Kluyveromyces lactis: one gene and its partners. The protein of the gene in region 2 interacts with the protein of the main gene of each other region in a biochemical or structural test. Links are inferred from orthologs where the notes say so. Each region holds a gene or a part of one and is shown on either strand. Other genes may lie near its edges. The genes, in order: MCM2, CDC45, MCM4, SLD5, MCM7, PSF2 and MCM6.

The links.
Region 1: the proteins of CDC45 (region 2) and MCM2 form a complex in vitro, tested with the Saccharomyces cerevisiae proteins (7 studies listed by BioGRID). The link is inferred for Kluyveromyces lactis from reciprocal best matches to the Saccharomyces cerevisiae genes CDC45 and MCM2.
Region 3: the proteins of CDC45 (region 2) and MCM4 form a complex in vitro, tested with the Saccharomyces cerevisiae proteins (5 studies listed by BioGRID). The link is inferred for Kluyveromyces lactis from reciprocal best matches to the Saccharomyces cerevisiae genes CDC45 and MCM4.
Region 4: the proteins of CDC45 (region 2) and SLD5 form a complex in vitro, tested with the Saccharomyces cerevisiae proteins (4 studies listed by BioGRID). The link is inferred for Kluyveromyces lactis from reciprocal best matches to the Saccharomyces cerevisiae genes CDC45 and SLD5.
Region 5: the proteins of CDC45 (region 2) and MCM7 form a complex in vitro, tested with the Saccharomyces cerevisiae proteins (6 studies listed by BioGRID). The link is inferred for Kluyveromyces lactis from reciprocal best matches to the Saccharomyces cerevisiae genes CDC45 and MCM7.
Region 6: the proteins of CDC45 (region 2) and PSF2 form a complex in vitro, tested with the Saccharomyces cerevisiae proteins (2 studies listed by BioGRID). The link is inferred for Kluyveromyces lactis from reciprocal best matches to the Saccharomyces cerevisiae genes CDC45 and PSF2.
Region 7: the proteins of CDC45 (region 2) and MCM6 form a complex in vitro, tested with the Saccharomyces cerevisiae proteins (5 studies listed by BioGRID). The link is inferred for Kluyveromyces lactis from reciprocal best matches to the Saccharomyces cerevisiae genes CDC45 and MCM6.

The regions. Positions count from the first base shown.
Region 1 is NC_006042.1:1,165,190-1,170,340, forward strand, and holds MCM2 (MCM DNA helicase complex subunit MCM2), read right to left. Parts: upstream 3,155-5,151; coding exon 521-3,154; downstream 1-520. Other genes in the region: NCL1 (tRNA (cytosine-C5-)-methyltransferase), read left to right, coding at 1-291; KLLA0_F12606g (uncharacterized protein), read left to right, coding at 3,891-4,970. UniProt on the Saccharomyces cerevisiae protein: Acts as a component of the MCM2-7 complex (MCM complex) which is the putative replicative helicase essential for 'once per cell cycle' DNA replication initiation and elongation in eukaryotic cells.
Region 2 is NC_006042.1:1,833,914-1,838,419, forward strand, and holds CDC45 (DNA replication initiation factor CDC45), read right to left. Parts: upstream 3,097-4,506; coding exon 1,102-3,096; downstream 1-1,101. Other genes in the region: KLLA0_F19800g (uncharacterized protein), read right to left, coding at 231-785; LCL2 (Lcl2p), read left to right, coding at 3,382-3,786; tRNA splicing endonuclease subunit SEN2, read right to left, coding at 3,961-4,506. UniProt on the Saccharomyces cerevisiae protein: Required for initiation of chromosomal DNA replication. Acts at the origin of replication. Also has a role in minichromosome maintenance.
Region 3 is NC_006039.1:1,537,244-1,542,202, forward strand, and holds MCM4 (MCM DNA helicase complex subunit MCM4), read right to left. Parts: upstream 3,143-4,959; coding exon 464-3,142; downstream 1-463. Other genes in the region: KLLA0_C17490g (S10 family peptidase), read left to right, coding at 1-312; mannose-ethanolamine phosphotransferase GPI13, read left to right, coding at 3,724-4,959. UniProt on the Saccharomyces cerevisiae protein: Acts as a component of the MCM2-7 complex (MCM complex) which is the putative replicative helicase essential for 'once per cell cycle' DNA replication initiation and elongation in eukaryotic cells.
Region 4 is NC_006042.1:1,023,377-1,026,860, reverse strand, and holds SLD5 (DNA replication protein SLD5), read right to left. Parts: upstream 1,884-3,484; coding exon 1,005-1,883; downstream 1-1,004. Other genes in the region: serine/threonine/tyrosine protein kinase RAD53, read left to right, coding at 1-732; PAC11 (dynein intermediate chain), read left to right, coding at 2,195-3,484. UniProt on the Saccharomyces cerevisiae protein: Required for DNA replication. Functions as part of the GINS complex which plays an essential role in the initiation of DNA replication by binding to DNA replication origins and facilitating the assembly of the DNA replication machinery.
Region 5 is NC_006041.1:2,065,526-2,069,775, reverse strand, and holds MCM7 (DNA replication licensing factor MCM7), read left to right. Parts: upstream 1-1,450; coding exon 1,451-3,931; downstream 3,932-4,250. Other genes in the region: KLLA0_E23211g (uncharacterized protein), read right to left, coding at 1-129; AAH1 (adenine deaminase), read right to left, coding at 4,193-4,250. UniProt on the Saccharomyces cerevisiae protein: Acts as a component of the MCM2-7 complex (MCM complex) which is the putative replicative helicase essential for 'once per cell cycle' DNA replication initiation and elongation in eukaryotic cells.
Region 6 is NC_006040.1:557,642-560,911, forward strand, and holds PSF2 (DNA replication protein PSF2), read right to left. Parts: upstream 1,563-3,270; coding exon 957-1,562; downstream 1-956. Other genes in the region: ARG2 (acetyl-CoA:L-glutamate N-acetyltransferase), read left to right, coding at 1,885-3,270. UniProt on the Saccharomyces cerevisiae protein: Functions as part of the GINS complex which plays an essential role in the initiation of DNA replication by binding to DNA replication origins and facilitating the assembly of the DNA replication machinery.
Region 7 is NC_006042.1:935,558-940,436, reverse strand, and holds MCM6 (MCM DNA helicase complex subunit MCM6), read left to right. Parts: upstream 1-1,807; coding exon 1,808-4,819; downstream 4,820-4,879. Other genes in the region: KLLA0_F10109g (C2H2-type zinc finger protein), read left to right, coding at 1-1,242. UniProt on the Saccharomyces cerevisiae protein: Acts as a component of the MCM2-7 complex (MCM complex) which is the putative replicative helicase essential for 'once per cell cycle' DNA replication initiation and elongation in eukaryotic cells.

The DNA of each region.
Region 1 (5,151 bases), about 670 kb from region 2:
TGCACTTTCATTAAAGTCGATAGAAATGATCCATCCAAGGAAGATTTGTTTTTACCAGTTTGGAACGGATCAAAATGTATCAACTTGATGGTTTGTAAAGAAGATGTTCACGAATTGTTGTACAGAATTTTCGGCATCGAAACAACCAGCAAACAAAATCCAAAGGCTGATCATATGGCCAAGAAGGCCCAAGAAGCAGCTGACGCATCAGCTAACTCTTCGAAGGAAGAGACTTCTGAGAAAGAAGAAGTACCTGCTGTAACTGTCACTGAAACATCCACGGCTGAATAAGTTTCTTCACTCCACATTATCAGTTATAGACTTCTACATGAAATTATAAAAGCGGTATTCCTTTGAAGGTTGAAGTAATCATTATTTAAGTCTATTAGTTACAAATTTGTATATTATGCTAATATAAGCGATGTAGTACTGCATCTATAATGGAAAAAATGGGAACGGTATATTGTTGTTCTGAGCTTATAGAATTGTTTTCTTCCGTTGGAAATGTTGAATCTTGATTTCACATTGTTCCCATAGTATAAACAGCGAAAGATCTTTGTAGTTGGCGACGTACACTAATCTTTTGTGCACCCACAAAACTGTCCACTGTTACTTTAATTGCTCTGTCTAAATCCCATGAGGAAACGAATTCTGATAATCTCATTTTCGCGAAGGCTTCAGCAATTCTTAAGATAGATTCCAAATGACGAACGGTGATCGGGAATGAACCAGTAGTGACACTCTCTCGTCTCAAATCAGCATAAACCCTACTCACTTTGTCCATATCCATTTGATGTAACTTAGGGTAAACTTTAGTTCTTGCGTAATGAATATACTTCATTAGCATATGCTGAGATATGGGCGAAATTTCTTCTTCTCTTTTACGAAGGTTCTGCAAGCGTCTTTGTTTGGCAGATAACGGAGTTTCTTCATCACCCTCCCCATTAGGATTTTCCGTTGGAACGTTACCATCATCAAAATCATCCAGATCCTTGTCTGGATGAGACCTGATATGTGAATCAACGACGAAAGATGCTAGCCGATTATCACTTTCTTCATCAACCAAATCTCTTACCACGCAGAGGATATCGAATCTTGACAAAATTGGTTCAGTCAAATTGACATTTTGTGATAACGGAAGAGTAGAGTTGTAACGACCACCGATCGGGTTGGCGGCAGCTAAAATAGAGCATCTGGCTTGTAACGTGGTAACGATACCTGCCTTAGAGATGGATATACTTTGCTGTTCCATTGCTTCGTGAATAGAAGTACGATCCTGATCGTTCATCTTATCGAATTCATCAATCAAACAAACACCCTTATCCGCAAGCACTAACGCACCACCTTCAAGAGTCCACTCTTTAGTTATTTGGTCCTTCCTGACAGAAGCTGTCAAACCGACTGCAGAAGCACCTTGACCTGTAGCGAAGACAGCTCTGTTGGCAGTTTTTTCCACGTATTTCAAAATTTGGGACTTGGCAGTACCTGGATCACCGAGAAGTAGAATGTTTATGTCACCACGGATGGAATGCTTACCGTTAATGTTTTTAGGAACACCTCCGAATAAAGAACATGCAATTGCTGTCTTGATATCCCTGTGCCCATAAATAGATGGAGCCATTGATGAAATGATTTTATCGATGATTCCTCTGTCACGAGACATCTTTCTGAATTCACGCTCTTCGTCTTCTGTCCAACTGAAGGCATCCAGCCCTTCGTGTTCATCACCATCATGCAATCCGCCTTCTCTTCTCTTCACTGAATTGGCTTCCAGTACTGTTGCGAAAACGGGGAACCCGTTCTTTGCATTCAAATTACCGTCATATGTGTTCTTATAGATTCCTGTCACTTCGACTTCTTCACCAGGTTTTGCGATATCAACCAAGTCCCACAACAAAATGACTTCTCTGTGACGTGGTAATCTACCGGCTGGAACAGACCCTGGTGATTCTTGGATGGTGATTCTTTGGTAATTACGGTACAGAGTTTTTTCCATATTAATTCTGAAGGGACCCTTAGATCTACAATTTGTGCAGAACGAGATTTTAATTTCTTCATTTGAATCCTGATAGTAAGGCCCAAGTGTGGCACCACATTTCAAACAGTTGAATTTAACGTATTTAAGTTGTGGGAAGACACCAGTTCTTCTTGTCACGACACCACTAACTCTAACTAAAGAATTCAAATGAGTTTCACGTAAAGCACGTAAGTTCAATATACTAGGGAAATCCGAGATTCTTACGTGAATTTCCGAGTGAATACGAGTATAATCGGGATAGTGTAGTTGTGTAGCTTCCATAGCCACTGTATCAAATATTTTCAACATTTCTTCGGGAGATTTGGCTAAAAATAGGGCTAGAATGGCCTTGGATTCTACCAAATGTCTATAATTAACTTCCAAGGATTCAGAGTTCATTTCACCGAGAGTTCTGATACGAGCACCGTAAACGGATTTACCTGACTCATCAGTATATTCAAGCAAAAACGATTTCAACTCTCTGGCAATAGTACGTGATACATTCGGTTGAGTGATCCATTCAGAATAACTTGATGCCTTCACATCTGCCAAAGATTCCAACGAGAGCTCATCTGCCAACGGATCTATATCCATATCTGATAACAAATCATCATCTGCTTCTTCGTATTGACGTCTTCTACGTCTCCTCTGTACTGGAAGACCCATAGCATCCAAATTATGCGCACCAGCTCCTTCGCCATCATCATCATCAAGGTATGCTGTGTTCCTATGCACCAAACGATCTCTCTCGTTCAATTGTGCATCGATTCTTCTACGCTCAGCGAGCGACAACTCTTGCTGCTCCTGGTCGTCGACTCCTCTTCTTTCATACGTATCATGTTCTGTGTTTGAAGCGTAATCACGGTACATATCATCACCCATCAAATCGACTTCATTCATTCTTTCTTCCACATCTTCAAGATCCTCTTGAACATTGACAGCTTCATCTCCATCGTTATCTGGATTCTCAAAATCTATCTCATCTGGAGATCCAAGCGGGTCTTCAAACTGTGGAGAACTAGGGATGTTAGCGCCACCTTCACGGGGTTGTGTAGACAAAGAATCATCCTCATCCTCATCATCATCAGCTCTTCTTCTTCTCCTCCTTCCGTTATTTATTTCATCATTATCAGACATCTTGAAACACTTTCAAAAACAGCAATTAATAATCTTCAATTATCGCACTACCAAATCCGATCACACAATTGTCTTCCTGATGCTTCGATGACCTACTTGTTACACTTTGTTTCAGACCATTGGGATCTAAAGCTATCTTAAGATCTTAACGTTTTTTCCGGCTTTTTTCTTCAGTTGAATGTACGAAAATGATCTTTAATTGAAACAATAACATTTCCTAAAATGGTGTTTTGCAACGATCTGACCATTGTAGAGCGTTGGGGCTAATAATACAGCAATGGCAATATTCCAATAACACCAATCGGTAGTTCTCACCTCTTTTAGCTTTGCAATCTACATTTGATTAGTATAATTTCTTTATTATGATGCGTGGATCACGTGATAATCACATGGGATCATACGCTTAAAAACCGTACTTATAGCTCCAATCACACGATGAAGCAACACAATTGCAGGTAAAGTATGGATGTTGAAGCTCTGGAATGATGTGATGCATTTTGTGCCCCATATTAGATCGATTTCCATCCGGTAACCGTCCAAATGTGTCGATATTGACGTAAAATCATACGGAATATTGATTCATCGACATGGAAAATCTCTTACTATCAATGAAATATCCCCAAATTTAAACATAAGGAACACGTCAAGTTAAAGGCAAAAAGGGTACCTTCATTCACGCATTTCTTACTACAAGGTGAGTTCTGGCACTTAAAGATAGTCTTGTTGGTGTTAGGGAATGAGCGAGATTAGCGTTAAAGAATATGTGAAGCGACAGGAGGAACTGGAAGATGAAGCAAATAAACTGATGCCATATGATCCAAGCCATTGCACTTATTCCATGGGCCCAATTCGACAGCCAATATTCGCATGTCGTACTTGCAACAGTATAGGAGTGTGCTATTCATGCTCTATTCAGTGTCACAGTACCTGTGACTTGGTGGAACTTTTCGATAAGAGGAATTTCAGTTGCGATTGCGGTACAGAAAGGCAGTTTGAACACGGTGAGAAGTTCACACCTTGTAATATAAGAAAGAATACTACACCAGATATACCAGACATGAGTAACAGGTATGGCCAGAATTTCAAAGGGTTATTTTGCTCTTGCCATAGAGAGTATGACCCGAATACAACGACAACGATGTTACAATGCGTCCTTGGCTTGGAGTGCAATGAGGACTGGTTTCATGATCACTGCATTCTAGGGATAGAAGAAAACCCAGACCCGGTTACAGAAGACAGAAAGCTACCAGGATTCCCTGAACTGTCAAGTTTCGAAGGATTTATCTCATGGGTTTGTATTGACAAGTACAGCTCGATATTTGAAAAGCTTTTATCACACGAAGCGTGTGATAAAATCATAGCACATAAAGTGTACAGGAGAGATCTGGTATCGGATCAGAACTCCGAGGGAATGACATTGGAAAGTACCAAGAAAAGAGGGCTAGAAGAAATGGAAAACTCTTCGGGTTCATATTCATTATTCTTGAAAGAAGGATATAGGGAAGAATTTAAACGATTAAGGGATTCACTTCCAGAAGGTGACTCCTTGAAAAGCTTTTTCATGCACACAGCACCATTCCTCACTTGTGAAGAGAAAGTTTATGAACCCCCGGAGGAACAAGAGCAAGGATCTCTTGTAGAAATGGGAGAAACGGCCCTAGCTCAAAACTTGTCTCATCAGCAAACTCTAGCCAGTCTAGTCGCTTTCCAGCAAATAAAATCAAAACTAACAGATTTCCTACGACCATTTGCGGAAAACGATAAGGTCGTTAGTGAATCTGATATCAAGCAGTTTTTTGATACTCAGAAAAAATGAACTCTTGTTACGACATTTAATCATCATAAACTTTAAATGTGGATATGTTATATACATTGCTACATTTAGAAGAATTTATTGTCAATAAGAGGGATATCTCGAGCTTCTACTCTAAACTTTTCATTTACACATGTATGTATTCAAAAAGGTGTTAGTTTTATATAACATATGAGATAACTTG
Region 2 (4,506 bases):
CGTATGTTATGATAATTGAAGGGAATTAAAGCCAGTACAAGCCTCCTGGTTCAGCAGTCTGATCATACGGTGCTTTACACGGGTTTCATCGTCCGTCTATCCATTTGCGTATGCTATTTATGCTTGTCGCAGTCTATTTGCATTAGATATATTGGGATATTCCGCACTGTGGAATAATCTTGTGAGCTGTGAGGGATGAAATAGTCACAGGAGTTAATACTACTAGCCAGCTATTCAGTGTTTTCCTCGTACTTCCACGCCTCATTTTGGACAAATGCTGTTTGGAACTGCCGGAGCTGTTTGTATAGATCTTGAGATGAGTTCGAGTAATCGAATTTCGGACTTGTTTCTGGCATGTCATCATCCATTAAATCTAGCTGTTCTCTCCATAGCGTTTGGTAATACGGTACATTGAGCCTGGATTCAGGTATTGCTCTATCTTTATCAAAAAGTCTTCTCATGGCAACCTCTTGTTGTTGCAATTGATCCACTTTTGTCTTGTTTAGTATATTATCATGGAGTATGAAAGGTGACGGATCGTATTTGAAACTGAGAGTGTTTTCAGATATCCCTGGTGCCCTTTGTTTCCCATTCATATCCCTGTTTCTATTGCGTTCATTCTTGTAATTCAACGGAGTGTAGAGCGAAGAGTCGCTGAATACATTTGCCGATGTGCCCATCCCAACGTTGAAATCCTCATCTGTTGAGTGTTTGACATGTTTGATCCTGCGGAACTGCGGGCTTTTCCAGGGTGGCAGACGCGGAAGATCTATGTTGTGCTCCATGTATTAACTTAAGAGCCTGAACAGCTACAGTTGAGGGGTTGAAGGCTGGTTCTTGGCAACATTTTGCCTATAATTATGACAAATTATTGTGGGTATTTTAGAATGCTTACCTTTGACTGACATTTGTGGCATTGGTTTAATGATCACGTGATATCAATGGTAAACCTAACAGATTTCAAACAGCTTGGACATCCCATAGTAGTGTCAATTTCGAGGTATCTGATTAGATTGTTACATAATATATATATATATATTAGATTTAAAGCCGAAAGCTCACCTCATGATATGCCTAAATTAATATGTTTGTGTCTTCGTGCTAAATCAATCCGCTTAATGTCAAACGTTCAAGGAATGGTTGTAGATCGTCTTTCCTGATTTCAATAATTGATGTCTCGAAATTGTCAATCCTTACTTTGGCACCTGTCTCAGCTGCTATTTGTTGAAATGCCACTGTGAAATTATTTAAAGTTTTCTGCTGTTGTTGTTGTAAAATGTCCAACCCTCTTGGGTACCTTGGCGCAATCCCTGCACAAAGATATGTGTCAGAAGTCTCATCTAAAGTTGCCAATACCAGTGGAAGTAACTGTTTTTCGTCATTTTCTGCATAGTATTCAATGAGCCATGATCCCAGCCTCAATAACGTTAATGGATTTCTATATAAATGCAAATCTGGTCCATCTTGTAAAACACATAGCCTGTAAATCCTTAAATGTTTCACTAATCTTTTCTCCAGAATAGCGACTCCAGTTTCAAATACACTTCTTTGTAAAAATGTTGCATGCTTAATCCCCTGAGATAAAATATCCATATTATTGTCCAATACATCCCAACTTGACCAAAAATTTGCAATCCATTTTTTTTGCCTTGTCTTCAGTATTCTGTTAATTTTTTGCTCTTCAGCTTCTTCGTACTCCCTATTCTCTTCATCACCTTGGTTCGTATCATCTTTTTGAGATACATTAGCTGTTGTCAAATTTTCTAGTGCGTTTGAAGCATTGCCAACTTCAAGTAAAGCGGTTATCGATTCGACAAATTCACTGGCACTTATTGATCCTCGGTAACCGAAAGTTCTCAAGAACCCATCTCGTACAATATCTTGTAACCCGTATCTATCGAGATTTTTATCGAAAAGTACGCCCAGATCTCTCTTGAAATTATTGTCCATATATATCCAGTTTTCCTGTGTAACACTCAGCGGAATACCCATGCGTGCAAACATTTTATGCAGTCTTTTCTTGCCATTTTCATTCCACAGTGACAGTTTGGCGTTGACGTAGTTAGAATAATAAAAACTATCATATAAGGATGTATGCCTCAGAAGGAATAAACTGTAATCGGGACGAATCTCAAGATTCAAAGAATCTGGCGTTTTAGTTTTTTCACTAGGTGTCAATCTTTTTACTTCATCTTTCAGAAGTGGTAATAGTCGATTGTATACCAACGGGAAGGAATTATCCAAAGAGGACACTCCTAGAATGCATAACCATAAATAATCTAGATTTGTCTCACCAATACCAGACAAAAGAGAATATATCTGAACTGAAAGGGAGTTCAGCACCGTTGATCCCTGTGAATAGTACTCCTGTAACACTTTTTCTAAGTTGTGAAACTCTCGCTTTCGTTGTTTATGTGATTTTTTTGGATTCAATTCATCGCTGGACCTTTTACCCAATACTACGTCATCGTCATCGTCATCGTCATCGTCATCGTCGTCTTTATCCTCATTTTGCGTTTCCCTGTCATCTTCCTCTTCCTCGCTATCACTGTCATCGTCCAATTCATCGCCAAGTTCGTTCTCTATCTCTATAAGTTTGTAGTATGCTTTCTTTTGCTCTGTCAAAGACTCTTCGACTGTTCCATCATCGAAACAGGTTATGCACTGTGAACCAAATAAATTATCCAAATTCCACGGTCTATGACAATCAAGCACAAATATCTCCTTCTTAAATTTCTGAACAACGTCAGTCTTATCTAATTGAATCTCATCTAATGGACCCTGCGTGTTTTCTTGTGGATCAATCTCTAAAAAAGATTCAAGATCTACCATCCCTCCACAACCTACAAATATAACGCTATTGATATTTTCGTCCAGTCTCTGATAGTGATCCTTCAATTCCGAATAACCAAACACGGGAACTAACTGTGATTGTACCAATTGCTTCTTGAATAGACTGGATAGCATCTTCGATGCACATAACGCGTCAATGTTTAAACACGAAACAAAAATCACCAACTGACATGAAGAATGAGAACTGCATCGGTGAAGAATTTTATCATAAGCACCCACAAATTCAGCAATGCCAATATACATCCTCTACCTGGCACTTTGATGGCCTGCAGTGGTTTTGTTTGCAGTCTCTTTTCCCTCGTGAGCTAGTCATCTCATGTATTTACATAAATTTCTTTAAAATATTGGTTTGGAATACTTACACGTTTAAAGATTTTTGGAAAATCGATTACTTGTCATAAATGGCATACATGCGAAATATTCGAAATATTCGAAGAGATGCCAAGATTTACAAGACTATAGGTACTAAACACTGCTATCTGATATTTCATATTGCAGTATTACGAAATACGAAGATCTTAACTTACTATGAAACTACTGGGAACAATAATTGGTTCAGCATTCTTTTTACAAGCTGTGTCTGGATTCTTTTTCGATTCAGGTCACCAGAATAGACAGCAACAGCAGCAACAGCAGCAACAGCGGGATGTTGGCTCTTACCAGCAAATGTTCCTAGATAATGACTGTCCGCATTATTTATGTCCACAGACATTGGATTGTGTGAGACAGAAGTCGGATTGTGCGTGTCCGTTCCCTAATTCACAATTGAAATGCAATCTACCCAACGGTCAGGTAATTTGCATCTCAAAGCCAGCAACACATGATCCAACACTGGTAGAGATTTATGATGATCCAGTAATGGGACCAGCTCAACGTACTGAGGGATTCAGAGATTGTGGATGGATCTTGGATGTATATGACGGCAAGATTTAGAATGAGAGATCTTTCTTTCTGTATCGGCCATAATACTATTACAAACATAAACTGATAATATATATAGAGACATATAATACAGACCATTACTGTATTTAATGCAATTAACTAGCATGGGTTTATTTTTACTCGTTTGAGTTCTTCGCGGAAAAGATCGTTACCGGTTCGGAACAGTTAATCTCTGTTCTTACCTGCAACCCATCTTTTGTATAACAATTCATGGATTTTAAAGTTTCTGAAAAGCTCATCGTACTTTGATTGCTTCCAAAGTTCCATTAAGTCATCTTCAGGTATGAGTTGTTCAACGTAGCATAATACAAACTGTTTCTTGGCTCCGCCCACGACTCTGGCAGCGCTTGAATACCAAGTGTAATCATTTGACTGGTTTGCATCCAAAACCATGATTCCATACTCCGCATGTTGGAAAGGGGGTCCTCTTCTGTATAATAAGTATTCGCAACCAAATTTTATCCCCGATCGTACACACCACCCTTTGGACCTGTAATGATGGTACGCGACATATTGATGAATTAATTTCTTGATGTCTTGGAAACTTTTCGGTTCCAGTACCAACGAAACCATTAATTGTTGCAATGTGATCTTCAATACCGGCACTGCATAAGAGAGGAAAATAGCCTCGACGGGCATCAATTGCAAGCTTTCTAGTTGAATCACTGATTTGCCTTCTATTAATCTTAAATCTTCGTCACGTATTTGCAT
Region 3 (4,959 bases), on a different chromosome or scaffold from region 2:
CTGCTTGATTTGAACATTCCTGTCTTGATATATGCCGGCGATACAGACTACATATGTAATTGGTTGGGTAATATGGCGTGGACCGATGCTCTCACATGGAAGGACCATATAAGCTATGAAACGTTACCCTTAAACCCATGGTATAGTTTGAACGGATCCGTCCAGTTTGGTGAGGTCAAAAACCACGGACCCTTTACTTTCCTCAGAGTATTCGAAGCAGGTCATACGGTTCCATATTATCAACCACTAGCTACTATGGAAATGATCAACAGATGGATCTCGGGGGACCTTTCTTTAGGCTACTCTAACTAAATATGCTATTATAATGTCAAACACTTTCACGATGATATATACACAGAACGTATGTATATAAGCAGAACATGCGGAAGGTCGTTATTCTCATTTAGCCCTTTGCAAACTATGTAGAGGCTTTCTCAGAAAAACTAGACTTGATAATATCTATTCATACACGGCCATTCAAACGAATTGATCTTCTTAGACCTTCTCCTAAGATTACTACCTTGTCTTCTTGTTGCAATCTTGTCAAAGCGTTTGATAATTCGATACTCTCCACTTTATCTTGCGATTGTTCGTTTATAAGCTTGCTTAGTTCGTTGAAACTTATTGTGTCTGTTGTCCTTTCTGTCAATATCTTTAAAATTTCTCTCGCCAAGTCTTCAAGCAATTTTCTTTGCACAACCGATTTACCAGTTTGTACAAGGTTCATATCAATTTTACCAGTTTTAGGATCCGTAGCGTAATCTTTGATGGCAGACTTTATCAGTCTCACTGCTTCTTCCACATCTTCAAGTTCAACTCTTTCACTTAACCTCATCTTAGCATGAGCTTCTGAAAGTCTAATCATACTTTCTAACTGTCTTGTTGTTGCGGTAATTCTTTTTTCATCTGATCTACTGTCATCACCCATCTTTCTCATACCGACATATGCCCTCACAAGTTCAGTCTTGGCTGACTCAGTTATTACCGGGTGAATGTTTTGTTTTGCATAGTTGATGTAGGCTGTCAAGAATTCAACTGGTAGAATATCACCTTGAGATACAGAATCCGGTCTGTCTTCCAGGTATAAACTGGTTAAATGCTTAGCGAGTTCACGATCAGACGCTTCGTTGACCTTGTCAAGCACTAGATAAACGAGATCAAATCTTGATAATAATGGAGGCGGCAAATCAATATTTTCAGTCACAGGAAGATTAGGATTGTACCTAGAGTTGATAGGATTGGCACTAGCCAGAATTGAAGTTCTAGCATTTAAAGTTGTAATAATACCTGCTTTTGCAATAGAGATTGTTTGTTGTTCCATAACTTCATGTAATACTGATCTAGTATTATCGTTCATCTTATCAAATTCATCAATACAACACACACCACCGTCAGAGAGAACTAAAGCACCACTTTCCAACACCAGTTGCTTAGTATCCACATCTCTTGTAACATAAGCAGTTAAACCAACAGCAGAGGAACCCTTACCCGAAGTGTAAACACCACGAGGAGCAATCTTATGAACATATTGTAAAATTTGAGATTTAGAGGTCGAAGGATCACCACATAGTAGAATATTAATGTCACCTCTATATCTTCCACCTTTCTTGAAAGTTTTATTAGCACCACCAAAGAGTTGTAATAAGATTCCCTTCTTGACGTCATCTAACTCGTAAATACTTGGTGCGATGGAACGTGACAAAACATCATAGACATCCGATCGGCGAGCAGTTTCTTTGATCCTCCTAATGTCTTCGCTACTCAAAGTTCTAATCTCTTCCACATTATCAATCTGGTTCTGCAAGAGTTGTTGTTCAACAGTAGAAGTGTCCACACCGACTCTATCTTTAGCCACCTTTTGGATATGAACCACATCGATGTATGTCTTGTATAGAGATTTGAGGGCTCTTTGCTTTGGATTCGACCTGATTGGAATAGATCTAAAGATACCTGAAACCTCAATTCTATCACCAGCACGACACGAATCAACCAGCTCATCATATACACATAGGGAAACAGAGTGTGGAGTTTGTCCATCAGGGACTAGATCAGGCGTTTCTTGTAACTTTATCACTTGTCTGTCTTGGAAAGTGCACCTATTGTGAACTAAAACCATGGAGTTTGGGCTATTACAGACCACTCTGGGACATCTCACTGGTTCTTGAATAATACCACGATCGATCTCAACTTCTACAGTATGATTGCATACGTTACATTTGAAAAATGCAACACTCATATCTGGGATAATAGGTGTGGATCTTAGAACTAAACCTTTGATACTCACCAATTTATCAATATCATTAGGATTAAGCTCTCTCATACCCTTTTTGGTTTCCACATTATATGGTCTCACTTTGAACAACTTCGATTCAATTTCATTCAAGTAACTCTCTAACCCATTATCAAGTGCTAAGGATACCATACAATCTTTAACAGTTTGATCCATAATAGCTATAATTTCTTGAGGGTAATAGAGAATCTGATGAAACAACTTTTCAGTATGTTTATAAGCCAGTAAATTTCTGATATCAAGGTTCAAGTTTGAAGTACCGAGTTGTCTCATTTGATTCAATTGATTCACATAATACAGCTCTTGGTCTGTTGTTTCGTTGATGAAAATCTCCTGATCATCTAGCTCCTTTCTATATTTCAACTTGAAAGACATCAAAAATTCTCTGAAACTGTTACCACACTCTTGGATCGAAACATTGGTACCCCAGATGATCTTCAAAGGTTGATCAGCAGCTTCAGATGCAGGTCTCGATGATGATGAAAATCCATTATCCGATGAGGAAAGGTTATTGAAAGTGACAATTCTTCTGGGAGATGATAAGTCAGATGCATTAATTTCGCCTCTTCTAGATCTAGAGTGTCTTCCCTCTCTTGCACTTGAGGATAGAGAGGATGAATAGTTCAATAGATCAGATCTCAAATTGTTAGATCTTAAACCACTGCTACTAGGAGCGGCGCGAGCCGTCTCTTGCGTGGCATTTGACGAAGACGAAGGATAGTGAAACGGAGAAGAGCCTACGCCTCGGTCTTGAGATGCCTGGGAATCCTGTGTACCATGAGGAGCTGGAGAAGAGCTAGGATCATAAAACAAATTTGGTGAACTTGGTTGTTGAGCTGGAGGTGAGGACATAATATTGTTAACCGTTTGTCTTCCTGTGTTCTATGGATATATACTGCCACTATTATCCAAATGCTAATTCAGCAATTTTATCAAACCTACTAAGCAGCTAAATAATCCTAGGTTCCCTGATATATCACCTTTCAATTGATAATGTTATCTTGTTTGAGATGCTTTGAGTGAACTAAGTGAAACTCGTTAAGATTTTACACATTTTTGGTTACATAGTTACATTTCCTAAAGAAGAAAACAGAACAAATTGAAATAAACAAGGTTCTAATGAGCCCTTGCCACCGTTGATAATACCATGGATCCACTCAGCTCAATGGTCAGTATCTTCGCCGATCAGAATTGGAGTTGCATTATTTGAAGAGGGAACAATGATCACGTGATGTACAATTGTTCTGTTTTAAAAGAAATTAACCTTTAAAATGAAATAAAGTGGTAACAAGAACTCTGTCAGAGGCGAGAGATAAGCGAACCACTTTCGCCAGTGTGACTCAATTCTTCTGCACAATATCATTATTCAACGTGAATTTATTGTACTTTCGTTTAGTTGTGTTTTTGTCCCGTTTGGAAACTGGTAAGAAGTGATGAATCCCACTGTTAGTGATGAACGAGATCGGGCAGAGAGAATTAGACTCAGCATAATGGGGCCTCAAACGAGGTCCAGTCGAATGAGCTATCGGATATCAAGGTTCAAGTCTACGCACACTCTGTACATACTATTACTTGCTTCTTTGGCTGTATTGCAGTTTATTTCCATAGCATTTTTCGCAAAAGGGTTCCTTTTAACAAGGACGGTGTTGGATAACGTTGCAGAACTTGATCCCCAGCTTCCCTTCGAAGCTAAATACGATAAGATGGTTTTACTAATAGTGGACGCATTGAGGTTTGATTTCGTTATTCCAGTAGATGAAAATCATGCCAAGTACAACCCTAATTATCATAACAATTTGAAAGTTCTTTATGAGACGGCCCATAACTCAACGGATTCTGTCTTGTTGAAGTTTTTGGCTGATCCTCCCACAACTACGCTACAAAGATTAAAGGGATTGACAACAGGTTCCTTGCCTACATTTATAGATGCAGGATCGAATTTCAATGGTGATGTGATCGATGAGGATAACTTAATAAAACAGCTTTATCTGCATAACAAGAAAATATTCTTTGCCGGTGATGACACTTGGGATGCCCTATTTAATCCGTATTTGGCTCCAGAAAGTGTACCATATGAATCCTTGAACGTTTGGGATTTAGACACAGTCGATAATGGGGTTATTTCTTACTTAGAGGAGTATTATTTCAATGAAGAGAAACGGTCTGAATACGATATCTTGATCGGACATATGTTAGGAGTTGATCATGTCGGACATAAGTACGGTCCTAATCATTTTACCATGAAGGAAAAACAGCTTCAAGTTGATGAGCTATTGCGGAAAATTATAAGCACTGCAGATGATAACACGTTATACGTTGTTATGGGTGATCACGGTATGGACCACACAGGAAACCACGGTGGTGATTCGCAAGACGAGTTGGAAAGTGTCCTTTGGCTATACGCGAAGAATGCCAACTGGAGTAAGGATTACGACAGTTATAATACTACAGATCTGGGTACTTCATATAAGCAAATGAACCAGATTGACCTGGTGCCTACCCTCTCCTTACTATTGGGAATTCCAATTCCATTCAATAATTTGGGTTGGCCGTTGGATGAAATTGCAAATGACCCTGAAGAATTAACGCTTTACCACAATATATGTCGGAACCAATTAGAGAAATATTTGAGCGTCAGTAACATAATCGGTGCCACTGCTAGACGTGAT
Region 4 (3,484 bases), about 810 kb from region 2:
AAGGTCAATGGGGAGGGGCTATTTCTCACTTTGCATTCCTTACCTGGCTCATCTATTTCAGGTAAGGTCCAAGTAAAACAAGGGATAAATCCATTCTTCATCGGTAGGTCAGACGAATGCAACTGTAAAATTGATGATAATCGTTTATCTAGGATACATTGCTTCATATTGAAGAAAAGACACGCTGTCGGTGACAGTATTTATGAATCTCCAGCTCAAGGTCTTGATGATGTATGGTATTGCCAAAGTGGTACTAACTCAAGCTATGTTAATGGAAAGAAAATCACTCCGGGCACAAAGATCTTACTTCATGATGGCGATGAAATCCAAATTATATGGGATAAAATCAATGATGTCACTGTTTCTTTCCAGCTTGAGTTCAATGATACCACTGGTTTGTTCCACGAGGGGAAGCTGGATACCAATGAGAAAACAAACAAGACACTTCTACATAAACAGACACAGGAGGAGTTAGCTTTAGTCCCTAAGTTTATGGAATTTATGAAGTCTAGATCATCACAACATGCCAAATCTAATATAAACCAGTCCTCTTCCAGTAACATAGATGCCAACTCGCAAAATATCGAGGAATTAGATTCTGTCGTTGAGATGAACTCGACTACAGGATTGAAAAGAATACATTCAGTGTCGTTATCTCAATCTCAACCGCAGACAACCAAAAGGGCTAAGCTTGCCCAAGCCCAGAAACCAGATATTGAAGGATTTCTCTGAGCTGATCATATGCTTGCCGGATGGGTTTTGCATACAGTAAATATGAAAAATAGGTACACTTTGAGTATGCTAGATAGACTTTTCAACGTTAATTGATGTAATACTAATACAAATTGGTTCAAAAGCACTATAGACCAGCAGTCAATAACACTAGGTAGAAAACATGCTGTGTTCGCAATAACATTGTTGAGAAATTATTGCTGGCAAACATTCGTTACAAACCTATATTTTTCGAAGAGTCATAGGTTCAGTAATACTGTTCAGAATTTTCATTATATTAAAACTACTCGTCCCTCAGTCATGAGATCTCGTATTACACTATAACGTATTACGTATACTGCCCCGATTAATAAGTAAATTTCTTCATTTAAATCTTCAATAATCACTGAGTAACAGTGTTTTCCATCATCATCGGTCGTTAATTTCGAATCAATACCACTTTCGTCAACTACCCCACCACAAACTAGTATAAATACAGTTTTATTCCAATCGGGTTCATCAATCATACTGATGGAACCCTCAGTATCGTTAACGGCTTGCAGTTCTTCTGGTAAGTGCTTAAGTACTGCGTTGTTAAACAGTTTTAGTAATATGTCAGAATGCTTCATATGGTACTTCACCTCTTCTTTGGACATCAATAAATCTAGTCTGCTGAGGCCCGCATTATTGGGTAGTTCGGATTGTTGTCTTAGGTAAATGCTGTATTTGTCAATTTTGCTTAACCGGCATCTGATGAAAGATCGAACTAGGAACTTCAATCTCTCAAGTTCTGCTTCCATGCATAAAAGTGGTAGCTTTGAATCGACAGTTAACTCTTGATTATCTTCTAAGTATCCCATTGATAGTGTTTCTATTAGTTCAATTCTTTCTTGAATCCTTATTAATGTCCTAGTCATGAGATGATGTGGATATGGAAGCAGCTCCGGACTCATACGTTCATTCTTCCAATGTGTAATTAGCTTTTGATAGTCGTCAATTTTGTTAAACTGTGTGGGAGCCACAGGGTCAACCGCCTTATCTGCTGGTCTTATCTGAGAGACATCATTGCCTTGAGTTCGATCGCTTTGGTCTGGGTATGAAGAAGCATTTTGTTCAACAGCTGTAGTGTCCCTATCCAGCTCAGCTAGAATGTCGTCAATATCAATGCTCATTGTACTAAAGAAATATGATCCTACCACCAGGACTCAAAGCGGAGGAAGTGTTCGGATAGTACACCGGGGTGGCTTTTATAATTGCTGTAAAGGTGTATTCAGACAAGAAGGACTTACTTGCAATGTGTTATCCTCCAACCTATTGTGAAATTCATCCAACTTACTGTAACATCGTATTTTTGATAATACTCAAATCTTATTTATCATCTTTTGTTTACGCTTAACAAATCCATACATGAAGCAAGATAAAACGCGTCAGTGAAGAAGCGCTCATCAGCAACACCAACCTCAGGGGGAATATACCCAGAAATATGGACAAGAATGAGCGCTTACAGTTGATGAAGCAGAAAATAGAGGCTCTTCAGCTGCAAAGGAAAAAAATTGATTCGAAACATGAAGAGATAGCAGATTGTACCCTTCCGTTCATTTCCCATATCACCAATTCCATAAATAACAACGAATCTGAAGTCAAGAAAGAAGTAAAAACTGTTGAGATCTCAGTGCAAACAGATGATGTAAATGAGTTTGAATTGAGCGCTGTTAAGGAGGCTGTGATAACATATGATATCGGAATACAGACAGATGAATATGACGGGAAACATGAAATTATGGAAGATGGACATCTACCTTCCCAAGATCTTATAGAACAGCAAGCATCGACTTCAGATATTACAGAGACCAAGGAGGATAAAGAAGTTGTTGAAAAGGATGTGTTTGATTTCGGAAATGTCGTTTCAGCGGAAGACTACGCAACGTTGAAGAAAGAAACATTTTCACTACAGGAGACTATAGAAGCGGCTGCGCTCAAGTCATCTTCTCATCAAATCGCTGGTGATGGGAAAATAAGCATGTATTTATCAATTTCACCAAAAGTTGCCATTGATTCAACTTCTGAAGCAAGGGTCATTTCCAGTGACGTCTTAGATAATTTACTGGTTACTGTGATTCATCTTGTAACCAAATACGTGAAAAGCTCTTTAGTTCAAATCACACACGTCTCTTCTGGTGAGGTACTTGATACAGTTTTATTCCAAGGTCAGAATGTTGTACGGAGCAAGTTTATTGATAATCCTAATTCTAAGATTACCTCCGTCGTTCTTTCTTGCTATACAGGAAAACTCATCTTATATGAACTGCGAACAGTCAAAATAAATAATAGCTTTCAGGTGGAAAGAAATATTGTTTCCACTAATTATCATCACTATCCGGTACTTTCAATTATAATTCCAAAATTCAATGACCATAGCATCCTGGCGGCCAGCACCAATGGCCAACTTAAGCTGATATCAACCTTAGATTTATCATTAAAAGAGGATGACGATGTCAAAATTATTCCTATCCCAAGGACGGACTTATCATATTCTACTGAACAGACTAAAAAAGATAACAAGTATTACCAACACCTATTGATAATGTCGCTTTATGACGAACTGAGCATAATTAGTATGCTACTGCTGCCATCTGATCCTTCTTCCATATATCTTGGTTGCGAGGATGGCTTTATTTACAAAGTGTGTCAATTACCTCTAAAAGGTGATAACAAAGGGTGTTACAAAATTAGTGAAGGAAACAATGGTTTCATACCAAACTTCACCTCAAAT
Region 5 (4,250 bases), on a different chromosome or scaffold from region 2:
CACAGAGTGGGTAGCGAAACCTGAAGCTTGTCTCTTGAATATCGTACTGGCAATCATCTCGTAATAGGTGTATATGTATATAGTTTGAGTTTTATGTTTGTGTTTAACCTCGTGACAATACACATACATATATTTAAATCCTAATATAAAATATACTCTATCACAAGAACCGAATCTTCAACTATTCACATTTCATACTTCTTATATATAAAACTAGAACCGAAAACCATCTTAGTGTAACGATACTAACACTCTGTGTGCATATTAATCTCGGGCTAAACGAAGCATAAAAAAGTCAAACCAAAAACAGTTAAAATGCTAAAGATAACGAGGTAACTGTCAGAAAGTCAGTCTGAGACAGCTGTTCTAACCTGATTTCCAGTTTTAAGGTACATTACAGTACAATGCAGATACTCAGCTAGGCGAATTTTTTTTATTTTGAGAATTTTTTGTTGGCTTTTTCTTTTGCATCTTAGAAACGTGTGTAGGACTGAGAGTTTTGTGCGAAATCTTGAGTGTGTGGACTGAGAAACGGTGAAATAAATGTGGTCTGACTAAGTGTCATTGTGAACGACGCCGACACATAGGGCTGTGCCGGGGCCTGTACCCTTTTCCACACAGTAGTAATAATAATAAACATTAGCTTCGGTGATGTTTAACGGCATAAACTGTAAACTATTGGTATGCCGGTCCGTATGTAGTGCATTTTTGCAACACGTAAACTGGGAAGGAGCTAAATTGATTTTTTAAATTGATTTCTCAAATTTAAGGGTGCGGTTTACGCGTTTGTTTACGTTTTTTGACGTTTACGTACGGTACAACGCGTAAAATGTAAACAATTTATGGGGGGCGGGGAGGTAATAAATTACACCTGGTTTACGCGTTGCGATGACATACCTCTCGTTTACCAAGGGCTATCCCTGAGGGCAGGGGCGGCGGTACACTTTGAGCGAGGGGAAATGTTGAATTTCAGTTTCTGAAACTGGGGTGTCCATTTACGAATGCCAAATTCCTATACTATATCCATTGTCCACTCGATTGGCCCATTGAACACTTGTTAGGCTTAGATAATGCAATGTTAAGGTTGTTTTCACCCAATTTTTGAGGTTACTGCCTCTCTATACCGGGGGTCCAGCCAAGCCAATGTGGTCGTTTATGAAAAGTACTGAAAATTGAAAAATTGAATTGCAATTTCAAATTAAAAATAGACTATAAGAGGGAGGGTAATTATGTTGGTATGTTTTGTCACGTGGTTGTGTCCGGGTAATGCGTCTTTCATCTTCTACCCGATTAGGAACTGTAAAATAAAAATCACTTTCGTTTTTCCAATTGATCTTTGAAACATTTACGCATACACTTTCTGCTAATCTTCAACAACTTCTCCGTTATCAGTTTTCCTACTGTCTGCTGCCACTCACACCAACCAACGATTCAGAACACCACCAGTACCATGGCTTCATCGGTTTTGCCCACACTGGATCTCGGAATTGACTACGAGGTAGCTCAAGATAATATCAAAGATTTCTTGATCCATTACAAAGAGGAAACTATCGGTTCTACTGGGGAGAACGATAATGACGATAACTTGGATCCTGAAGTTGGTCAGGGCCCAAAGTACTTGCAACAATTGCAACATATTGCCAATAGAGAACAAGATATCTTGTATATCGAATTGGACGATGTGTACCATTATCAGCGCACCAAGCAATTTGAAAATTTGTCTTCGTCAAATACAGCAGCACAAGGCAAGAACTTAGTTAACTTACACCGTATCATCATGGAAAACACTAAGCGGTTCACAGAACTTTTCTCCAACTGTGTAGATGAACTATTGCCGCCTCCAACGAAAGATATCGATTACGAAACAGATGTATTGGACGTCATTTTACACCAACGAAGATTGAGAAACGAAAGAAATATCTTGGAAACTAGAGATGAATTCCAACAAATGGCTCAAGGGATGGGCGAAGAGTCTCAAACCAATTTGGATCAATTGGCCACTACGGACGCTGATTTGTTCCCTGCTGCGTTGATTAGGAGATATCATTTGTATTTTAAACCGTTAACCAGCAGATCCACTAGGAAACTGAAACCAATGTCAGTAAGAGAAATTAAAGGCTCTTATTTGGGAAAATTGATTACAGTCCGTGGTATCATTACCAGAGTCTCTGATGTGAAGCCAAGTGTCACAGTCAACGCTTATACTTGTGATCAGTGCGGTCATGAAGTGTTCCAAGAAGTTAATAAAAGAACTTTTACCCCAATAATAGAATGTCCCTCTGCCCAATGTTCCGAAAATCAAACTAAGGGACAATTGTTCATGAGTACTAGGGCATCAAAGTTCAGTGCATTCCAAGAATGTAAAATTCAAGAACTATCAGATCAAGTGCCCATCGGGCATATCCCAAGGACATTAACTATTCACATTAATGGGCCATTAACTAGATCCATGATTCCAGGTGATGTGGTAGATGTTACTGGTATATATCTACCTTCACCATACACTGGTTTCCGTGCTTTGAAAGCTGGTCTATTAACGGAAACGTACCTAGAGACACAGTTTGTGTACCAGCATAAGAAAAAATTCGCATCTTTCCAAGTTGATGATCAATTGAAAGAAAGAGTAGCGAAAATCGTCAACCAAGGTGATGTTTATAACCGTTTGGCTAAATCAATTGCTCCAGAAATTTACGGTAATCTCGATGTTAAGAAATCTTTATTGTTATTATTAGTGGGCGGTGTTGAAAAAAAAGTCGGGGATGGTCTAAAAATCAGAGGTGATATTAACATTTGCTTGATGGGTGATCCTGGTGTTGCTAAATCTCAATTATTGAAATCTATCTGTAAAATTTCTCCGAGAGGTGTCTATACAACTGGTAAGGGTTCTTCTGGTGTAGGTCTAACAGCCGCCGTTATGAAGGATCCAGTGACTGATGAAATGGTGCTAGAAGGTGGTGCCCTCGTCCTTGCCGATAACGGTATCTGTTGTATCGATGAATTTGATAAGATGGATGAAAGTGATAGAACTGCTATCCATGAAGTTATGGAACAACAAACCATTTCAATTTCTAAGGCAGGTATTAACACTACTTTAAATGCCAGAGCCTCCATATTGGCAGCTGCTAACCCGCTATACGGAAGGTATAATCCAAGGTTATCTCCACTTGAAAATATTAATCTACCAGCAGCTCTTTTGTCTAGATTCGATATCATGTTTTTACTACTCGATATGCCAAGCAAAGAAAACGATGAGAAGTTAGCAGAACACGTCACGTACGTTCATATGTATGACAGGCAACCTGATTTTGGTTTCGAACCAATTCCTTCGAGCGAAATGAGAGAGTATATTGCATACGCCAAGACTAAGAGACCTGTGTTGTCAGCTGATGTCAATGAACACATAGTTCTATCTTATACAAGAATGAGACAAGACTCTAAGAAAGCGTTGGATTCTAAATTCTCGTTTGGGCAAGCAACACCTAGAACTTTACTTGCAATTATCAGACTATCACAGGCCTTGGCAAAACTAAGGCTCAGTGACACTGTGGAAATTGAAGATGTAGACGAAGCTTTGAGGTTGGTAGAAGTCTCTAAAGAGTCATTATACAGCGACCGCAAGAACCCATATGAAGATGAAAACCCAACAACCAGAATTTACACAATTATCAAGAAAATGGCGACTGAAAATGGTAGATTTAATAAAAGATTACCGTATGATGCTATTGTAAGAACGATTAGATCAAGAGGTTTCACTATGCTGCAACTGGTAAGCTGTATCAAAGAGTATGAGTATCTTAATGTTTGGCATCAAATAGAAGACGGAAACACCTTGCTATTTATTGACGATATTGATGATACAACGGAAGACAATTCTGATATAACTAACCCTTCGACGCAAAGGACACCGGATGAAGATGTCGATATGGAATAATACCTGACTATCTGCATACCACTAATCTGTTTTGATCCAATAATGCCTTTATTCCTTATTTTAGTTTTAAACCTAGTTTAACGACAAATTTGTATTACTATATACTAACGTTTAAGTAACTTCTAATGTGCCTCTTCTCCCAGATAGACTGAACGATGCAGAAGTAATCACAGTCTATCTTTCAAAACCAAAATTAATTTGTCGAATTCAAAATCTATCTATTTTGTGCATAAACCTAGCTTATGCCATCTACTACTTAGTCTAAGGTAAGTTTACATATTTGTTTACAACTTCTGAAACCTCAGAGAGTAGTTCTTGT
Region 6 (3,270 bases), on a different chromosome or scaffold from region 2:
AACTTGTTTTCGTCCCTTTAACCACCCTTTAGATTTTAAACCCGCTAAAAAAGCCGACAGATCCCAAATCTAAAATAAAAACAAAGATAACGCACAGGAATGAGAACCCTTTATTTTTTATTTTTTTTAAAATTCCGTGTTCCTTTAACAACTAGCTAGATAAACACTGGATTCAGCTGGTTACTCTATCTAAAATAGAATGGCCATGGAAGCAAAAACTACTATAAATATCATGTTATATACAGAGCAAATAAACTGAATCAAAGGTCACTTGTTTTATTTCCCGAGTTTCCAACTCTGTTCTCTTCCGGGGTTTATTATATACCTAAAGATATATATATATATATTATAAACATGCTGAGCTGTATTTATGACATGGTACACAGAGTTACGGGTAAAATGTCTTCGTAGCGGGAAGTTATCAACGCAACCATGCTGCTCTCTATGAGTTCATCCTGCTCAATTTCTACTGTTATTGTTTTCTATCTACGGTAAATTCTTTTCCCAACGTAATATTGAAGAAACGTGATTCGTTTCCGTGTTTGTGTTCCCCCCTTGTGTCGTTTTCTGTAAGTTATACCCGTAGTTCAATGCAAGGAACCGAAATAGCCTGAAGAACAACAAATATGATGAAGCAAGAACGTGGGGTGCACACGCAAGGCATGCCCGCGAGGCATGTTTGCGACACAAACGTAAATAAGAACTAAGCAGTGCGTGAATGTTCGGGATGGATCAGTTGTTTCGAATTACTACAAACTGTGAAGCGGGTACATGTAGGGTATGTAATATATGTGTTATTTGATAGGCCTGTACTTACATGGTAACCCGACCTTTTCTAGTGATTATGGTCAACTGTGTTATCATATAACCATGTAGGTTGGATTAAGGGGAGGGACTGGTGGAAACCTCGTGAATGGAATTTTGGATTCAATGGGAAAAGGTTATTATATTATTGATCACGTGGTGTCATTACTGGAGTCATGAATTGTCCTCAGTTTGTCCATGATACCACACGCATAGGGTCTCATCTCATTGATTTCCATCAAGGACAAGTTCTCTAGCTGTAAATGCGATTCGTTCAGGTACTGCAAACCCTTGTTGACTTTTCCCAAACGAACTTCTCGCAGATCTTGGACCTTAGATCTCAGTAGATGAACTGGATCCTGAAAATCATCGCTGCATCTGGCAAACAGCAGTGACGATACCACTAGCCAATTCCAGGGTAGATTGGAGAATCGTGATGGGTTTTTCAATTCAAAATCTAAATACTTCTCCAGCTGTTGTAACGTCAGCCAACTGGGTACCACGACGTTACACTTTCCCTGTTGTTTTAACAGTAAAGCCAGCCATAACGTGACTTCGCAACTATTCATTGCAACCATGTTATTTACCGTAGAATCATCGCATGTGATCAGTGACCATTGGGCGCCAGGATCCTTCGCGAGCTGTTTTTTGGTCTTCCTCGTAGTGATTCTGGGCATAATTCGTGTCGGTTCATTTTCAATTAAAAACTGTATCTCTTGGGGAGAAAATCCTATTGATAGATCTCTCGGTAGTGCCATCTCTATTTCAGGTTGGAGTTGCTAATCTATAGTGTCCTCAAGCTCACTACTTCCTTACATAGTGCTTTCAATGCGCGACTATGACCAATCGATATCTGTGCTTCAATTATTTTTCCATGTTCAATCTTGACATTGAAATCCAGCACAGGAAAAACAAAAACAGGAAAGACTAACTAAAGCTTTAAACTGGCAGTTTTCTCTGATGACTTGACTCATTGATAAAACTAGAATAAATGATGGTTTTATACACTTTCCATATTTGCAGATAAATGGTTTGATCTCATCATATAACGTCCAAAGGCACATTTTGTGGGCTAGTGCTATGATCAAAACATGGATTAGGTGTTTGACCACAGAGGTCAGATACCATCAACCTAATGCTCATGGCAGGAGTTTGGTTATGAGCGTTTTGAATTCTACAGTGACTAAAAGGGAAGCGAAAGACTATTTGAACAAATATACCGATGAGAATAATCATCACTACTGTCTTGTATTTTTGAGACATTTGTCCGAATATTCAGATAACGTACTTAGTGGGTTTAGCAAGACTGTGTCAAGAATTCAAACACTCGGACTAAGACCAATTTTAATAGTAGACCCGCTATGCCAAGACATATCATACCAAAGTCAGCGTTTGGACAATCATTTGCATGATCAGAGTCTGAAGTCAATAATCGTATTAGATCCCATTACCATCGGTGAACGTGGCTCAATTGACGTAAAACTTCCGATTTTGAACCCGCATATTATTCCGATTATTGAGCCATATCAGTACCATGAGAAGGAAGCTTTTAAGAAATTGGCTGGCGATCCATCTCGATTCTTATCATCTCTAGTGAGTAACTTGCCCATAAATATCGACAAGGTGTTCCTTATCAGCAAGTATGGTGGATTGCCGTCTGTGGAAAGACATACAAACAGCCATGTCTTTGTAAATTTGTCACAAGAATATCGAGAATTGAGAAACAGTTATCAAAATCAATTGGAGAAACTAGAATCTATTCAAGTGGATAATACTGAGAAGAATTTGGTAGAATCTCTACAATTATTTTTGAATCAGGATAAGATTCTTAGTAACAGCGATCAACTGAAATGTCATATGGAAGACCTTGAAATCATGAATAAAACGCTATCAGTTCTACCACATTCGTCTACTGGGCTAATTACCACTATTTTAGCAGGGTCCAAATTATCAGATAATAACCCATTGGTATATAATATCTTGACTGATCGTTCATTGATATCGTCATCTTTACCTCGATTCAAAAGATCGGCTGCGGCTCAATCGAAAAGCTGGTATGAGCTTCCATCTTCCAACGTGGAAGAGGAAGTCACTTCCGCAAACGATTCAGTTCTTGTGACTACAGTTTTCAAGAAGGGGATTGATATCCATATATTTGACTTCAGGACTTTGACCGATGATAATTCCATAGGTCTACCACCATCGCAAGCTACTCAAACTGGCAAATCTGACCCAGTATCGAAAAAACTCGATTTGAATAAACTGAATGGGATAATCAATTCAAGTTTTAAAAGGTCATTGGACCTATCACATTATCTCGGCAGGATCAATGGTAACATAGCGAGCATAATCGTAATAGGAGATTATGAAGGTATTGCAATTTTGACATACGAAGGGCCAAAGGACAAGCAATTCGTATATTTGGACAAATTTGCGGTAGCACAAAAATTAAAGGGCTCTCTCGGA
Region 7 (4,879 bases), about 900 kb from region 2:
GTTTCTAGTGGTATTGTTCCTGTCTCATCAACCGACAGTGAGTCTCAGGTGCCCACTGATAAGTCAGATGAGAAGAAGGAAACAGATATGAAATTTGTGTGTCATTATTGTGATGCAGAATTCAAAATGAGAGGGTATTTAACTCGCCACATCAAGAAACATGCCATAGAAAAGGCATATCATTGTCCCTTCTGGGATGCATCTCTACCTTCTGAGAAACGTTGTCACTCGACAGGTGGCTTCTCCAGAAGAGATTCTTATAAGACCCATTTGAGATCAAGGCATTTCATTTATCCTGATAATGTTAAGAATGTGGACCGTGTGAACTCTCATGGACATTGCGGCCGTTGTAAAAAACACTTTGATTCGACAAATGAATGGATTGAACATCATATTGAAAATCGTGAATGTGAAGCTATTTTGCCAACTTTCAAGGGTAACCTGAAGAAGAGTAAAAAGTGTGGGAAGTTGAAAATGATCATGACCTCTGATGGACAGTCACGTTTCATTTCCAACCAAGCAACTATCAGCGAAGCCAAGGTGCCTATCAGCAACTTCATGCCAGAAAATAGGAAGAAGTTATCGAGTGAGTATTCTAAACCGGCTTCTGCCTCCCCGCCCATCAAACAAACCATATCTGACCTGGCTTTGGATAACACTTTTGCTCTGGCTTCAATACCACTAAACTACAATGGAAATATCAATGGAAATATCAATGAACATAACGACAATCAGAATTACGGTCATTTCGAAAACCAAGTGTATGGCAACGGTGTCCCATCTCTCGCTCCCTCGAACTCTGTCCCCTTCACAGGACAACCACAACTAATACCTCATTCGGGATCTCAAAATACAGCTACTCATTTACGCAAATGTACACAACCATTCGATGAATTCTCCTCATTGAACAAATCACCAGTTGAAGATGCAGCTTTGGACACCGTACGGTCTATCTCATCCCAATCCTCCCATGAACATACTGTTCTCCATAAAGAAATGAACTTCATATCTACCGATCAAAAGTCACAAATAAATCCTGATTGGGAAGTACTCCCCCTCGACATCGAGCAAGCAGGCATGTCTATGGAAGAAGAAGTGAAATTCACGAATAACTCGAATGAACCTAAGATTAATACTACTTTACAAAGACAAATGAATGAGTACGCTCTGGGTGAGAGGCACTTCAGAGAAACTCAGCAATTCATGAACTTTTTCAATTATACTTACAATTACCAAGAATGATTGAATCTTTTTCCATTCGGCTTTTCAGTGGACCTATGTCCACATTAACATTTTCGGTTTATTTTATCTGGTTACATTTTTTTCTTTTCTTTCGATTTTAGATTCATTTTCACTTCACCATTAATGCAACTGACTGTCAGGGGGGCTATTTTATCCCTGGCCAGCTTTCTAAAATCCTCGCGTCCATATACTTATATCGCTTAAATAAGATGAATTCTTACCTACGTATCATTAATTTTTATTATCAATTCACCGATGTTTTATCTTCTCCCTATCGAATCAAAAAGAAAAAATTCCATTAAATTGAACTTTGCTGCATTGGTTATCGATATGTTATGGTCGATAGTCAATGGTTTTCCTCGTGTTATACCTCAGTTAACTAATTTTGGATACTTGCAATACCTCTTTAGGAAAAGTAATATTGAATCGCCTTAACTCAGAAATTAAAAAAATGATTTTACATGTTGAAACACTTAAAACATGATCTTCAATGTGAAGGGCATCCAGGTTGAACGGCTCATCCAAAACCGGACATAGTTGGAGCAAGCTGAAAAAATCAGCAACAATGTCGGCACCATCAAGTCCTTTTCAACATGGTCAGCAATCATCCCAGCCTCCCTCTAGTGTAGGTGCTTATGATAGTTCACAATTCGATGATCAGTCGTTAGGAAACAGAACTCCCCAGTTTCCATCTTCTTCCAGAGGAGTGTCAGATGGAAATAGACATTTCGGTACTGATGACACTAGGCAAGGCATTAATTCAGAATCACAAATAGAGGCTATGGAAAATGATTCACAAGAAATTACTCCATTAGCCGGGATCAGGCAGAAAAACTTGAATGCCATCAAAAAGGTTGATGATAAAACTGGTGAAACTGTAAGAGAGGCATTCGAACATTTCTTGTCAAATTTCACCGCCCTCAATGATGAAACAGGTGAGATGGAGAAGGTTTATAGAGTCCAAATTGAATATATGAGATGGTACGAATTGAATACCATATACGTTGACTATAAACATTTGGCCGAGGTGGAAGACGGAGCTTTAGCGGTTGCTATTTTACAACAGTATTACAGATTTTTGCCATTCCTTTTATCTGGGCTAAGAAATGTGGTGAAGAAGTACGCTCCTGGATTATTATTAACATCTGACTCTGTACTTCCTTCTCAATCTCAAGAGAATTCTCAGGACCGCTCTTCGCAAAGAATAGATTCATCTTTGCCAACTTCGCAGGCTGCCACCGCAGGAGGCACTGCCCCATCTACCATTGCCACTAATCCAGATCAGGTTGAACGTGTTTTGCAAATCAGTTTCCTGAATCTCCCAACTGTCCATAGAATCAGAGATATTAGGGCTAATAAGATTGGTTCTTTAATGGCTATTTCAGGCACAGTCACGAGAACTTCGGAAATTAGACCAGAATTATACAAAGCCAGTTTTACATGCGAATTGTGTCGAGCTGTTATTGACAATGTGGAACAAGTTTTCAAGTACACTGAACCAACCTCTTGTCCAAATCCAACATGTGAGAACCAATCTTTCTGGTCATTAAACGTGAACAGGTCCAAATTCTTGGATTGGCAAAAGGTAAGAATTCAAGAAAATTCCAATGAAATTCCATCCGGTTCTATGCCAAGAACCTTAGATATTATTCTTCGTGGTGACTGTGTCGAAAGAGCTAAACCAGGTGATAGATGTAAATTTATTGGTACTGAAATTGTCGTTCCAGACGTTAGTCAACTTGGTTTGCCTGGTGTTAAAGCAAGTTCGACTCCAGATTCTAGAGGTATCTCACGGACAACGGAAGGATTGAACTCAGGTATTTCTGGGCTCAAATCATTAGGTGTTAGAGATTTAACTTACAAAATATCGTTTTTGGCATGCCATGTTGAAAATGTTGGTACCAGTTTCAATGGTAGTAGGATTAATGAGGAGGACGCCGATAAGACATCCAAATTTGATTATATTAACTTGAGAAACTATCAAAACTATGAAATGGCGGCAGAAACTGATCAAGAAATTTTCCTAACAAGGCTTGATTCTGACGAAATTAATGAATTAAAAGAGATGGTGAAAGATGAGAATATTTATGACAAACTGGTGAAATCGATTGCACCAGCAGTTTTCGGGCATGAAACCATTAAGAAAGGTATCCTTTTACAAATGCTTAGCGGTGTTCATAAAACTACTGTAGAAGGCATTAAATTGAGAGGTGACATTAATATTTGTATCGTTGGTGATCCGTCCACCTCAAAATCTCAATTCCTAAAATACGTCTGTAACTTCTCTCCAAGAGCCGTTTATACTTCCGGTAAAGCATCTTCAGCGGCTGGTTTGACTGCAGCTGTGGTGAAAGATGAAGAAGGTGGTGATTTCACTATTGAAGCTGGTGCGTTAATGTTGGCAGATAATGGTGTTTGTTGTATCGACGAATTTGACAAGATGGATATCGCAGATCAAGTTGCTATTCATGAAGCCATGGAACAGCAAACCATTTCGATTGCCAAAGCTGGTATTCATGCAACATTAAATGCCAGAACTTCAATTTTGGCTGCCGCTAATCCCGTCGGCGGTAGGTACAATAGGAAACTGACTTTAAGATCTAATTTGAACATGTCTGCACCAATTATGTCCAGATTCGATTTATTCTTTGTCATTCTTGATGATTGCAATGAGAAGATCGATACTGAGCTAGCTTCCCACATCGTAGACTTGCACATGAAGAGGGACTCTGCTATTAATCCACCATTCTCAGCAGAACAATTGAGTCGTTATATCAACTATGCCAAGACTTTCAAGCCGGTAATGACTAAAGAAGCTCGTGACTACCTAGTCAAAAGATATACAGAACTAAGGAAAGACGATGCGCAGGGGTACAGTAAATCTTCGTACCGTATAACTGTCAGACAACTGGAATCATTAATCAGATTAAGTGAAGCTATTGCTCGTGCTAATTGCGTGGATGAAATTGTTCCGAGCTTTGTCGCTGAGGCGTACGATTTGTTGAGACAGAGTATCATCCGTGTTGATGTTGATGACGTTGAAATTGAAGATGACGATAACTCCCCAGAAGAAAGTACGGAGGGTGAGGGCACAATACCTGCCACACAACACTTCGGCGAAACACTTGATACACAATCTCAGTCACCTTCTCAACCACTGAACGCCGACTCCGAAACGGGGGGTGGTCCTGACGTAGAGTCTCATGACAACGCTCATCACACAACACATAAAGTCGCAATATCATATGATAAATACGTGGAAATGATGAATCTAATTGTACGGAAAGTGGTTGACAGAGAAAAGAATGAAGAACCTGAAATGACAAAAACTGAGATAGTAGATTGGTATTTACAACAGAAAGAAAACGACATCAACACCGAAGCAGAATATTGGCAAGAAAGGAAATTGGCATTCAAAGTCATCAAAAGATTGGTAAAGGACAGGGTCTTGATGCAAATACATGGTCAAAACGACGATCTATCTGCCGATGTCGAATCCTCAAATGCCAAGACAGTGTATGTGATACATCCGAACTGTAGTGTTCTAGATGAAATCACCCCTAACCCACCTCAATGAAAACTTACTAACTAGACTAATTCAACTAAATTGACCATTTGCACTATCTTTGAAATTTGT